2 linked regions of the Oryzias latipes genome follow. The protein of the gene in region 1 purifies or fractionates together with the protein of each later gene. This does not show direct contact. Links are inferred from orthologs where the notes say so. Each region holds a gene or a part of one and is shown on either strand. Other genes may lie near its edges.

The links.
Region 2: the proteins of vps4a (region 1) and zfyve19 purify together in Homo sapiens (affinity purification with mass spectrometry; 3 studies listed by BioGRID and IntAct, counting the BioPlex papers as one, with this or other methods). This does not show direct contact. The link is inferred for Oryzias latipes from reciprocal best matches to the Homo sapiens genes VPS4A and ZFYVE19.

Annotation. Positions count from the first base shown.
Region 1 is NC_019864.2:27,656,886-27,661,241, forward strand, and holds the start of vps4a (vacuolar protein sorting-associated protein 4A), read left to right. Parts: upstream 1-1,516; 5' UTR 1,517-1,706; coding exon 1,707-1,727; intron 1,728-3,458; coding exon 3,459-3,570; intron 3,571-3,644; coding exon 3,645-3,789; intron 3,790-3,865; coding exon 3,866-3,927; intron 3,928-4,230; coding exon 4,231-4,350; intron 4,351-4,356. UniProt on the Homo sapiens protein: Involved in late steps of the endosomal multivesicular bodies (MVB) pathway. Recognizes membrane-associated ESCRT-III assemblies and catalyzes their disassembly, possibly in combination with membrane fission.
Region 2 is NC_019880.2:14,826,043-14,830,497, reverse strand, and holds zfyve19 (abscission/NoCut checkpoint regulator), read left to right. Parts: upstream 1-1,427; 5' UTR 1,428-1,614; coding exon 1,615-1,668; intron 1,669-1,761; coding exon 1,762-1,883; intron 1,884-1,972; coding exon 1,973-2,026; intron 2,027-2,111; coding exon 2,112-2,272; intron 2,273-2,364; coding exon 2,365-2,507; intron 2,508-2,645; coding exon 2,646-2,754; intron 2,755-2,872; coding exon 2,873-3,091; intron 3,092-3,195; coding exon 3,196-3,272; intron 3,273-3,423; coding exon 3,424-3,525; intron 3,526-3,616; coding exon 3,617-3,780; intron 3,781-3,997; coding exon 3,998-4,076; 3' UTR 4,077-4,452; downstream 4,453-4,455. Other genes in the region: bub1b (mitotic checkpoint serine/threonine-protein kinase BUB1 beta), read right to left, coding at 447-506, 627-769. UniProt on the Homo sapiens protein: Key regulator of abscission step in cytokinesis: part of the cytokinesis checkpoint, a process required to delay abscission to prevent both premature resolution of intercellular chromosome bridges and accumulation of DNA damage.

The sequences.
Region 1 (4,356 bases):
CGTCACAAAGCGACTAACCTCTCAGACCGCTGAATGTTCTCGCTGGCTCTCCTCCGACTGTCTCCTGTCTATGCAAAGCCTCGCTTCCAGAAGGGTTTTTTTTTTAACCAAAGGTATTACTTGTGGCAGCTTGCGTCCTACACAATCATAAATGAAGCGTTACATGAGGATAAAGTGCTGCTGCAGCAACTTATATGCAAAGTATTGTAGACGTCTTTCCAGTATACAATGTATAATGATAATGTAGTTATTTCAAATGTAAATAACACCAATAAAACCTTTATAAATTCTATAATCTGATGTTTCTTTTTCTTTTGTGTGAAAAACCACATCCTAGTTAGATTTTTTAGTTTTTATTTGTTTTTACTCTACTTGTGTGAGAGAATTTTTTTAATCTAAATGTATCTATTTTTAACTTCTTAAGTCTGAAAATAAACACAAGTTAATAGTTGTACAAATATCAAAAAAATTGACTCTTTTAGGTTGTAATTAAATGACTTTGGGTGATTCTGTGTTAAGTAAATAAACTTGGTTTCATCTGTTTAAATCGGGTTATTTATAATAGCTATGCAATTTATTTTCTCAAGATTTTTTTGGTTTTTTTAATTTCTCTGAAGCTTAGACAAAATATTGTTAATGAATCAGGTCTATCATTAATTTGAGCCATTTCTTTCCTCTGACCAGCTGAGCCATGTAAACTCTGTAATCGCCTCATTTCTTAACTTGTTTTTTACAAGTACTAGTTTAATATTTTTACATTTATATGTAATTATCTTTACCGTCTAGTGCATAACTGAGCAAAGTGGAAAAAAACTAACCCTGAAGAAACCACAAAGTCAGATTTGGCCTGGGTTTGTTCTTTTTTATTTTTTTTCTCTTTAATTTCTAATTGTATTTTTATTTTACTGGCTGTTGTTAATTGATCCAATCAAAAAGGGAAAAACAAACAAAACATGTCATGATTTACTTTCAAAAAATATCAAATTTTTCCCACCAGCAAATGTGAAATCCTAAGAACTTCTCAAGTTCTTGCCATTTGAGCATGTTTGATTTGTGTTCTAACACTTATTTATTACTATTTCTTTACAGCCATCCAATTCACAGCTGGAGTTCTCTCAAGACTATACAAAAAAAGATTTAAGTTGGGGGGGAAAAGTAATAATTGAAGATTGCTGTAGTTCATTTAAAGTCCAGATTGTTTCTAAAAGAAATTAACTATGTGCATACTATTTTAAATGTGTGTATTGACAAAGTTCGCCGCTTGGTGGCAGTAGCGGTTCATCGTTGACTATATTTCTGACGTCAATACTGTGTGGCCACACAACCGGATGTTGGTTACTTTCCTTTTCAAATTAAATTTCACAATTGTTGTCATTATATTTTCTGTTGTTTAAAGTAAAAAAAAACAACATATTTTTGTTATATACTATTTTTTTACTGTGATGGACAGAATTTACAGCTCTTAATCCCGCCGTTTTCAGCTCAATTTTGAAAACAAAATAACGGACGTCTCTTGCGCATGTGCTAGCTTGACGGAAGTTGCGGTGTTGATGTGGTTTTGTTTGGTGAAGCTGTCGCATTTGTTTCTCCATTTGTCATGTCATTAGCTACACGTTTCCTCCTAAAATAGCCCCGCGGGCGGTTTCGCTTCTCCACCTTTGGGGAGGGTCACAGGAAAGACATTTGGGCGGAGAACAGAAGATGAAATGACAACGTCAACATTACAGGTAGGCTACTGCTCGCTAGCTAAACGCCAGCAGCTAGCCACAACTGACCCGAAAAAAAAATCGGTTTTAATGTTTTAAAGTTATATTTACTTTAATGCTAACTTTTCTTTTTGTGCTAAATAAAACACTTTGCAATGGGGCAAACGTATTCACGAAACACCTATGAGTGTTTTAGAATTGTCTGATCATGCGTATGTTCTAGCTGAACCTGATATGAATTATTAGTGGTTTTCTTTTTTTACACATTTCTTAATTTAATCTATGAAAATATAATTTCATGTAGAAATGAGAACAGTTGAACGTGGTTACTGAAAATATGTGAATGAACTGCATTCCATTATGAAGACTGAATTGTTTGCTGTCAACGTTCTAGCAAAATTCCCAACAAAGTTAAATACTATCAAATATTTCAAAATTATGTAAATATAAACATGATTTAACTGCAAAATTTGATTAAAAAAGTTAAAGACAATTGACTTCTAAATGCAGCATTAGTTAACACGTTTTAATACTGATGTTGACATTTTTGTAATAGTGACTATAAAGTTTAGGAGAAAGGTCATAAGACATTATAAAATACTTTACTCTAAAATTGGAACTAAATTAAGTAGCAATCAATTCAGACTTTTTTTTTTAAACCCAAAGTACAAGAAAATTTGGTTGTATCATAACCTAAACTGGACAATATTGTATTTTTAAATGATTTTATTGTGTAGTTTCAATGAGAGTAAGATTTTTTTAATATAATAAAAATAAGAGAAATGAGTAAAACTAAGGCCACAATCAAAAGTCCCCTGAAGGAACTGAATTTGACCTAAATGCCTAAAAATCTTCTGAAGATTTATGGAGCAGAAATGTACAGGATAAAAACAAAGTTCAGCTTTCACCCAAATATTGGCCTTTTGTCCAGAATCATGTAGCTGTTGGTCTGGAGTTTTGCTCCGTTTGCATTTTTCCATGGTTTCTGTCTTTGTTGCTGCAAATATTCAATAATAATCACCTGCAAGCCTCGTAATCAGCGGTAGAAAATTATCTAAACTTGCACTTTTTCTCAGAAAGGTTAATATCATGCATAGCTGCGTAAAGATGTGAATTATTACTGCTTTTTTGATGGCTGGAGGTTTATTTTTAACGTTTTTTGAAAACTATTTCCTGAACTCTGTGTTATTCATAGGCTAAAGTCAGACGCACAGATCATGTTATTTCCGTTTTAATTTGTTTAACCCAAAAACAAAATGTCTTTATTTCCTTTAGTTGTTATGTAACCCCATACAGATCCCAACTGTTTATAGTCTCTCAACATTGGTTACCTGTTGATTTCAAGATTTTTTTTAATTTCTGTGGTTTTATGCAAACCTGTCCACACTAAACCCACTAGAACTTCATGATTACAGAAATCTATTGGACGGGTCCAGATCCAGAAATAAAAAGAAGGATTTCAGTCTTCAAACTCATGTACCGACACTATGAAATAACTTCACATAAAAATGAAACATTTCACTTTTATTACTTTCAGGTTTATTTTTAATTCATTTTTTATGATGTTATTGAAAGTCTTTCTGGTTTATTTTTTATTTTTTTCGTCTGCAGCCACGTATGTGCTATAAAAACGTTATTGAACATGACGTACATGAAGGTTTTTAGTTTGTAAAAAACTGCTGTTGTCTTTTAGTTGCTTCTCCAGCAATGTGTGTGTTTGTAATTTGTCCTTTCACTTTGCATGTCCTTCAGAAAGCCATCGATCTTGTCACCAAAGCCACAGAGGAAGACAAGGCAAAGAACTACGAGGAGGCCCTGCGCTTGTACCAGCATGCAGTGGAATATTTCCTGCATGCCATCAAATGTAAGGATTTTGTGTAGCGGTGCTGCGGAGCGCGGCGCCACCTTTCTAACCGGATTTTTCCATTTGCGGCTCAGATGAGGCCCACAGTGACAAAGCAAAGGAGAGCATTCGAGCGAAGTGCATGCAGTACCTGGACAGAGCGGAGAAACTTAAGGACTACCTGAAGAACAAAGACAAACAAGGAAAGAAGCCCTTCAAGGAGGCACAGAGCAATGACAAGTAGGCCGTCACCGACTTCTGATGTTCTCATAAAGAAGTCCAGCTGTGCTTGAACGTTTCTGTCTTTGTGTTAAAGGAACGACAGCGACTGTGAGGGCGAAAACCCAGAGAAGAAGAAACTGCAGGAGCAGCTTATGGGTCAGTCTCTGGTATCTTAAAATAAGATTTCTCACATAAATAAATAAAAAAGTTTACAAAAGTATGTTTCTGGTTGTGAAAGGATAGTAGCATTATTTATAGATCTGCGCATTTACACACATTTTTATGTTTTCCCTCAATGAGCATGTGTGCCTCCGCCTCCCTCTGAATACAGACTGATTTAACAAATAAAAGTTCCTGAAGAAAGGATTAGTTGTTATGACTATTCATAATTGTGTTGCTGTAAATCTGCATGTCGCCTGCGCTCCTGCAGCGGTGTCACCTCCCTCGTCTTCTGTTTAGGCGCCATTGTTATGGAGAAGCCCAACGTCCGATGGAACGACGTCGCTGGACTGGAGGGAGCAAAGGAGGCGTTGAAGGAGGCTGTCATCTTGCCCATTAAATTTCCTCACCTTTTCACAGGTGACT
Region 2 (4,455 bases), on another chromosome or scaffold:
TGTTTGTGTTAGGACAAACCAATACAGACACTTCCTGTCAGTTTTAAATGTTTATTAAAAGGAGTTATTGATCCTGAAAAGTCTGTATCAATGAATTTCTTGCTAACTTTATCCAATTGTTTTCAACCACCTCCTACTCAAACTAGTGCCATACTCTGCTGAGCTTTAAGGCAATAAAATGTTGGTATCTGTTCATGATATGCAGACTTCCAGCAGAGCATTTATCTGTAATAATAAGTTTGATGTATGTAACACTGATCATAATAAGAATTAAATAAATATTTGATTCCTGATGGAAATAAAACATTCAATAATGATTAAACTACAAGCTTGGGCCCCATTTCCAATCGCGTGAACAGATCGGGACATATCTGATCCAAAAATCGAGGTCTGAACCGAATTGTAGGGAAGGTGAATTGTTGCATTCCTAGTTAGAAGTCGCTTACCTATCCCAAACACCAAGAGGATCGTCTCCATCATACATGCGTAGCTCAGACTCAAATGTTCTGTGAACACAGGATAGTTTACATTTTTAAATAATGGAAACAAAACTATGTTCAAACTCCAAAACATTTTCAGCTGAAAATCTTTCAGATCAATAGCTGTGTTTGCAAAAGCATCCATACTGTCTCTGCTGGTTTATGGCTGATGTGGGTCCATCTTGTTGCTGACTTAAGGCTTGATGTAAGGCAGATATGTCTCTTCCCCGCCTTAGTGGTTGAATGTTTTCTTTGCTTAGCTCCCATTCCACATCACCACCTTCCGCCATAGTGGAAATGCTGGAAAAGGTGGAGAGGGCAAAAAACTCCAATCAGAAACTTTGAAATAATCACAGGATATTAAAGGTAAGCAAACCAAAGATTATGTGAATTTAATCACAACAATGGTCATTTTGCCCTTTGCTACATACATACATTTTATTTTAATCAGTTTGTGCTGCTACAGGATTTCCATAATCCACAAATATCAACAGTAGACAAAACAGTTAAGACGGGGTATTACCGTGTAAACCTACAAGCTGCAACCAACTATGCCAGATTATGTTTTCATTCTGAGATAAAACAGATTATGTTTTCATTCTGAGAATTGAAAAAAAGACAGGTTGTTGTTGTTCGAAAAGCTAGTTAGCTTAGCGTAGGGTGGGAGTGTGTAACCATGGATATTCCATCACTTTATTCGCATGCTTTAAATTAATCGTGGCCGTATTTTTAGACTCGGCAAATCAATTAGAATAAAATAAATTTTCTTCAATATAAAACATGAAATATTACTATTACTACTTACAAGCTTCTTTAGTTTTTAAGCAGGTAAATCTTGGACCGTGCAAAGCTGAAACGGTTAGCTCGCTGTTTTTTTTGAACAAGTCCCGCGAGAACACAAGGAGAAAGCTGATTGGTGGGTTGAAAATACCGGAAAAACAAAGATGACGACAAATGACGTTTTCCGGTTTACTTCCGGTATTGGTTCTAGCTACGTTCAGTAATATAATACAAGAACAGGAGGAAGCATTTTCTGTGTTTTTAATTTTATTTTTTCTTAATTTTGCAAAGTTCTTTTCACATTTAATTGCTGGTGTATCGTATGTGATAACCTCATATTTAATGAAGGGGCAGAATGGACGGTCGCTGTTATTGCTGCGCATCCAAGTTTAGTCTTTTCAAAAAAGAGGTATAGTAGTATCATGGCTAATATGAACATGACACGATTGTGTTTTGATAAATGTGTACTGAAGGCTTATTCTATATAATATTGTGTTTATAGCTGGGCTGTAAAAACTGCGGGCGATCTTTTTGCCCCAGCTGTTTGGCTTTTAGTGCTGTGGTGCCTCGCTGCGGAAACACTCAACAGAAGGTCTGCAAGCAATGTCACGGTAATCTGACAAGGTATAAATATATAAATAAAAAGTGCTGCTGAATTATGTTGATGAACTCTCCAAAGTCGAATAATCTTTTGTTTTTATTCTCTTCATCAGTGGAGAACCTCCGAGCAGTGCCGGAAGATGGTCCCCACCAGAAAATTACAAGAAGTTAGTATGTGATCAGATTAAAAGGGGGAAAATACATACATGTGGGTTTATTAAGAACACTATCTAAAGTTACTGTCTTTTACAGGCGTGTCGCCGCCCTTGAGGCCAAACAGCAGGGACAGTCTGTGAAATCTGCTGCACATGGAGGGAGCAACAAAGCGGGTCATCTACCATGTAAAGGTCTAAGTAAAGAAGATCAGATTATTGCTGAGCGTCTTCAAAGATTAAAAGAGGAGACTAGACCAAGTAGGATCTTTTTTTAATGAGCATAAATTAAACACCTATAATAGACATGAGTTTTCCTCCTATTTGTCATACTTTTTTCCCCATTTCTATAGAGCCATCTCCCTCTCAGAGTGATCTTGAGTCTCGTCTCGCTGCTCTCAAAGCACCCAGCCAGCCAGTGCCTTCCATAGAGGAAATGGAGGACCGTCTGGCTGCTCTACGGGGTCAACCACCACCATCTCAAGCTCCTCCTCCTGTGAGTTAAATCCCCACCTCTTTTATGGGTGATGGTTTATAAAATATGCAACCCAGGTAGAGTCTCAAGTATCTCATAAATAGTCCGGTAATAGTATGGTCTACCTGCTAACACATCCTTATGCTCTCGTCTGGACAGGTTCACCAGCTTCCTGATAAACGGACTCAGACTGAACAAGCTAATGATTTGATTACTCAGATGACAGAGGAAGTTTGCATTGACAACCAGCAGTTAAACCATGAACAAAGTAATGTTTTGCTTGTTTAAAAAAATAGTTTTAATTAAAAAGCAATAAAATTTACTGCCCCTACAATCTAATCATGGAAAACTGGTTTCATTCTAAATATTTTATTTTTTGTTCAAAGACATAAATAGCCATATGAATGATCTGAACAAAGGGGAAGGTGCCACATGGGATGAGAACTTAGAGGAAAATCGGCAGACGGTGAAACATTTGGAGGCGGACAAAGACCGTCTTCTCGAGGAGGCAATGCAGGAGCTGAGGCAGGAGCAACATTCCCAAGAGCAGGTCCTCCATATGGCAAAGAGGCTGGCGCAGCTCAAGGGGCAGGACCCAGAAAAAGGTGCAGGGAGCAGTTTACCAACATTTATAGTTTTATGACGGAGAAAAATGACTAGACTTTGAATTTAAAACTTTGTAACTGACATTTCTATAATACACTTTTAGTCACAATGGAGGACTTCCAGAGTCCTGACAGTGATGAAGAGACTGAAGAAGAGGCTGTGAGGAGAATCTTGAAGCAGGTAAGGCATTCACAGAAAAGCAGAGGGCATTTCACAATGCAGTTAAAACTAAACACTTACTTTGTTGCACCTTTTTGAGGACAGCATTTCATTCTGACCACAAGAGGCTGCTGTTTGGCTAAGATGTTTTTTAGTTTTTCTGACTTTCCAGCTTTCAGAAGAGGCAGCTCTTGATGAAGCTAGTGGCTACAATATACCCATGGAGCAGAGTGGCCCCAGGAACACAGAAAACAAAAAAAAGTCTAAAAAATCAGTATGTTCATTGATCAAAATTCTGTGTTTTCTTTTAAGCTGTTTGGCTGCATTTTATTTAAAACACTGCTTTCTTTTGCTGTGGCGTGTAGAGTTCGGCTCCTGCTCCTAAGAGCAGAATCTCACCTGCTGCTGTCATGCATCAGTCATCAGACAGTGAAGAAGAAGAGCTTCCATGGTGCTGCATCTGTAATCAAGACGCCAGCCTTCGTTGTCACACGTGTGACGGAAGCCTGTACTGCAACCGCTGCTTCCGGTAACTATTTCAGATTTTTAGAGCTAATATTCCTGACCAGGACTTAAAACGATGCCCTCTATGGGAAATCCTTACTCTGATATCAAGAGTGTTGATTTGAAATGCATGTTATGACCCAGATAAAATGTTGGCACGCTGCTGTACTGTTAAGCAGCGTGAATATAAAGTATTTAGTGTGATGAATTATCAATTCTCCCCTTTTCCATTATGTCCCCAGGGAAGGCCACGATAAATATGACAGAATGGAGCATCAAACTACCAAATACACAGCGCCAAAGACAAAAAAGAAGACGTGATAGTGAAACTGCTATCTTGTTTGTCTCATCAGGCGCTGTTGTTTCATGACTCTCTAGTCTTTAAAGTGTCCTATTAATGTTGCTAAAGTAGAACCTTAAAAATGTAGACACTACATTTAAATAACGCAAGGCAGATCTCACTTTAACCCATCAATTTGGAGCTCTTTGCAGGAAGAGCTTTGCATACTTTCTGTGCTTTCTGAAACCTGGTTTAACCTCAGCAATATATTTAATAGGTACCAGAAAAACCCACACCAACCTCATCCAAAAACAGCTCGGAGTGTAGAGAGTAAAAGTATGTTCACTATTGTGCCATGACCACAAAGCAACTACAAAGAGCGAAAAATAAAAGCTGTCAAACTGATTTCTTTCATCACTT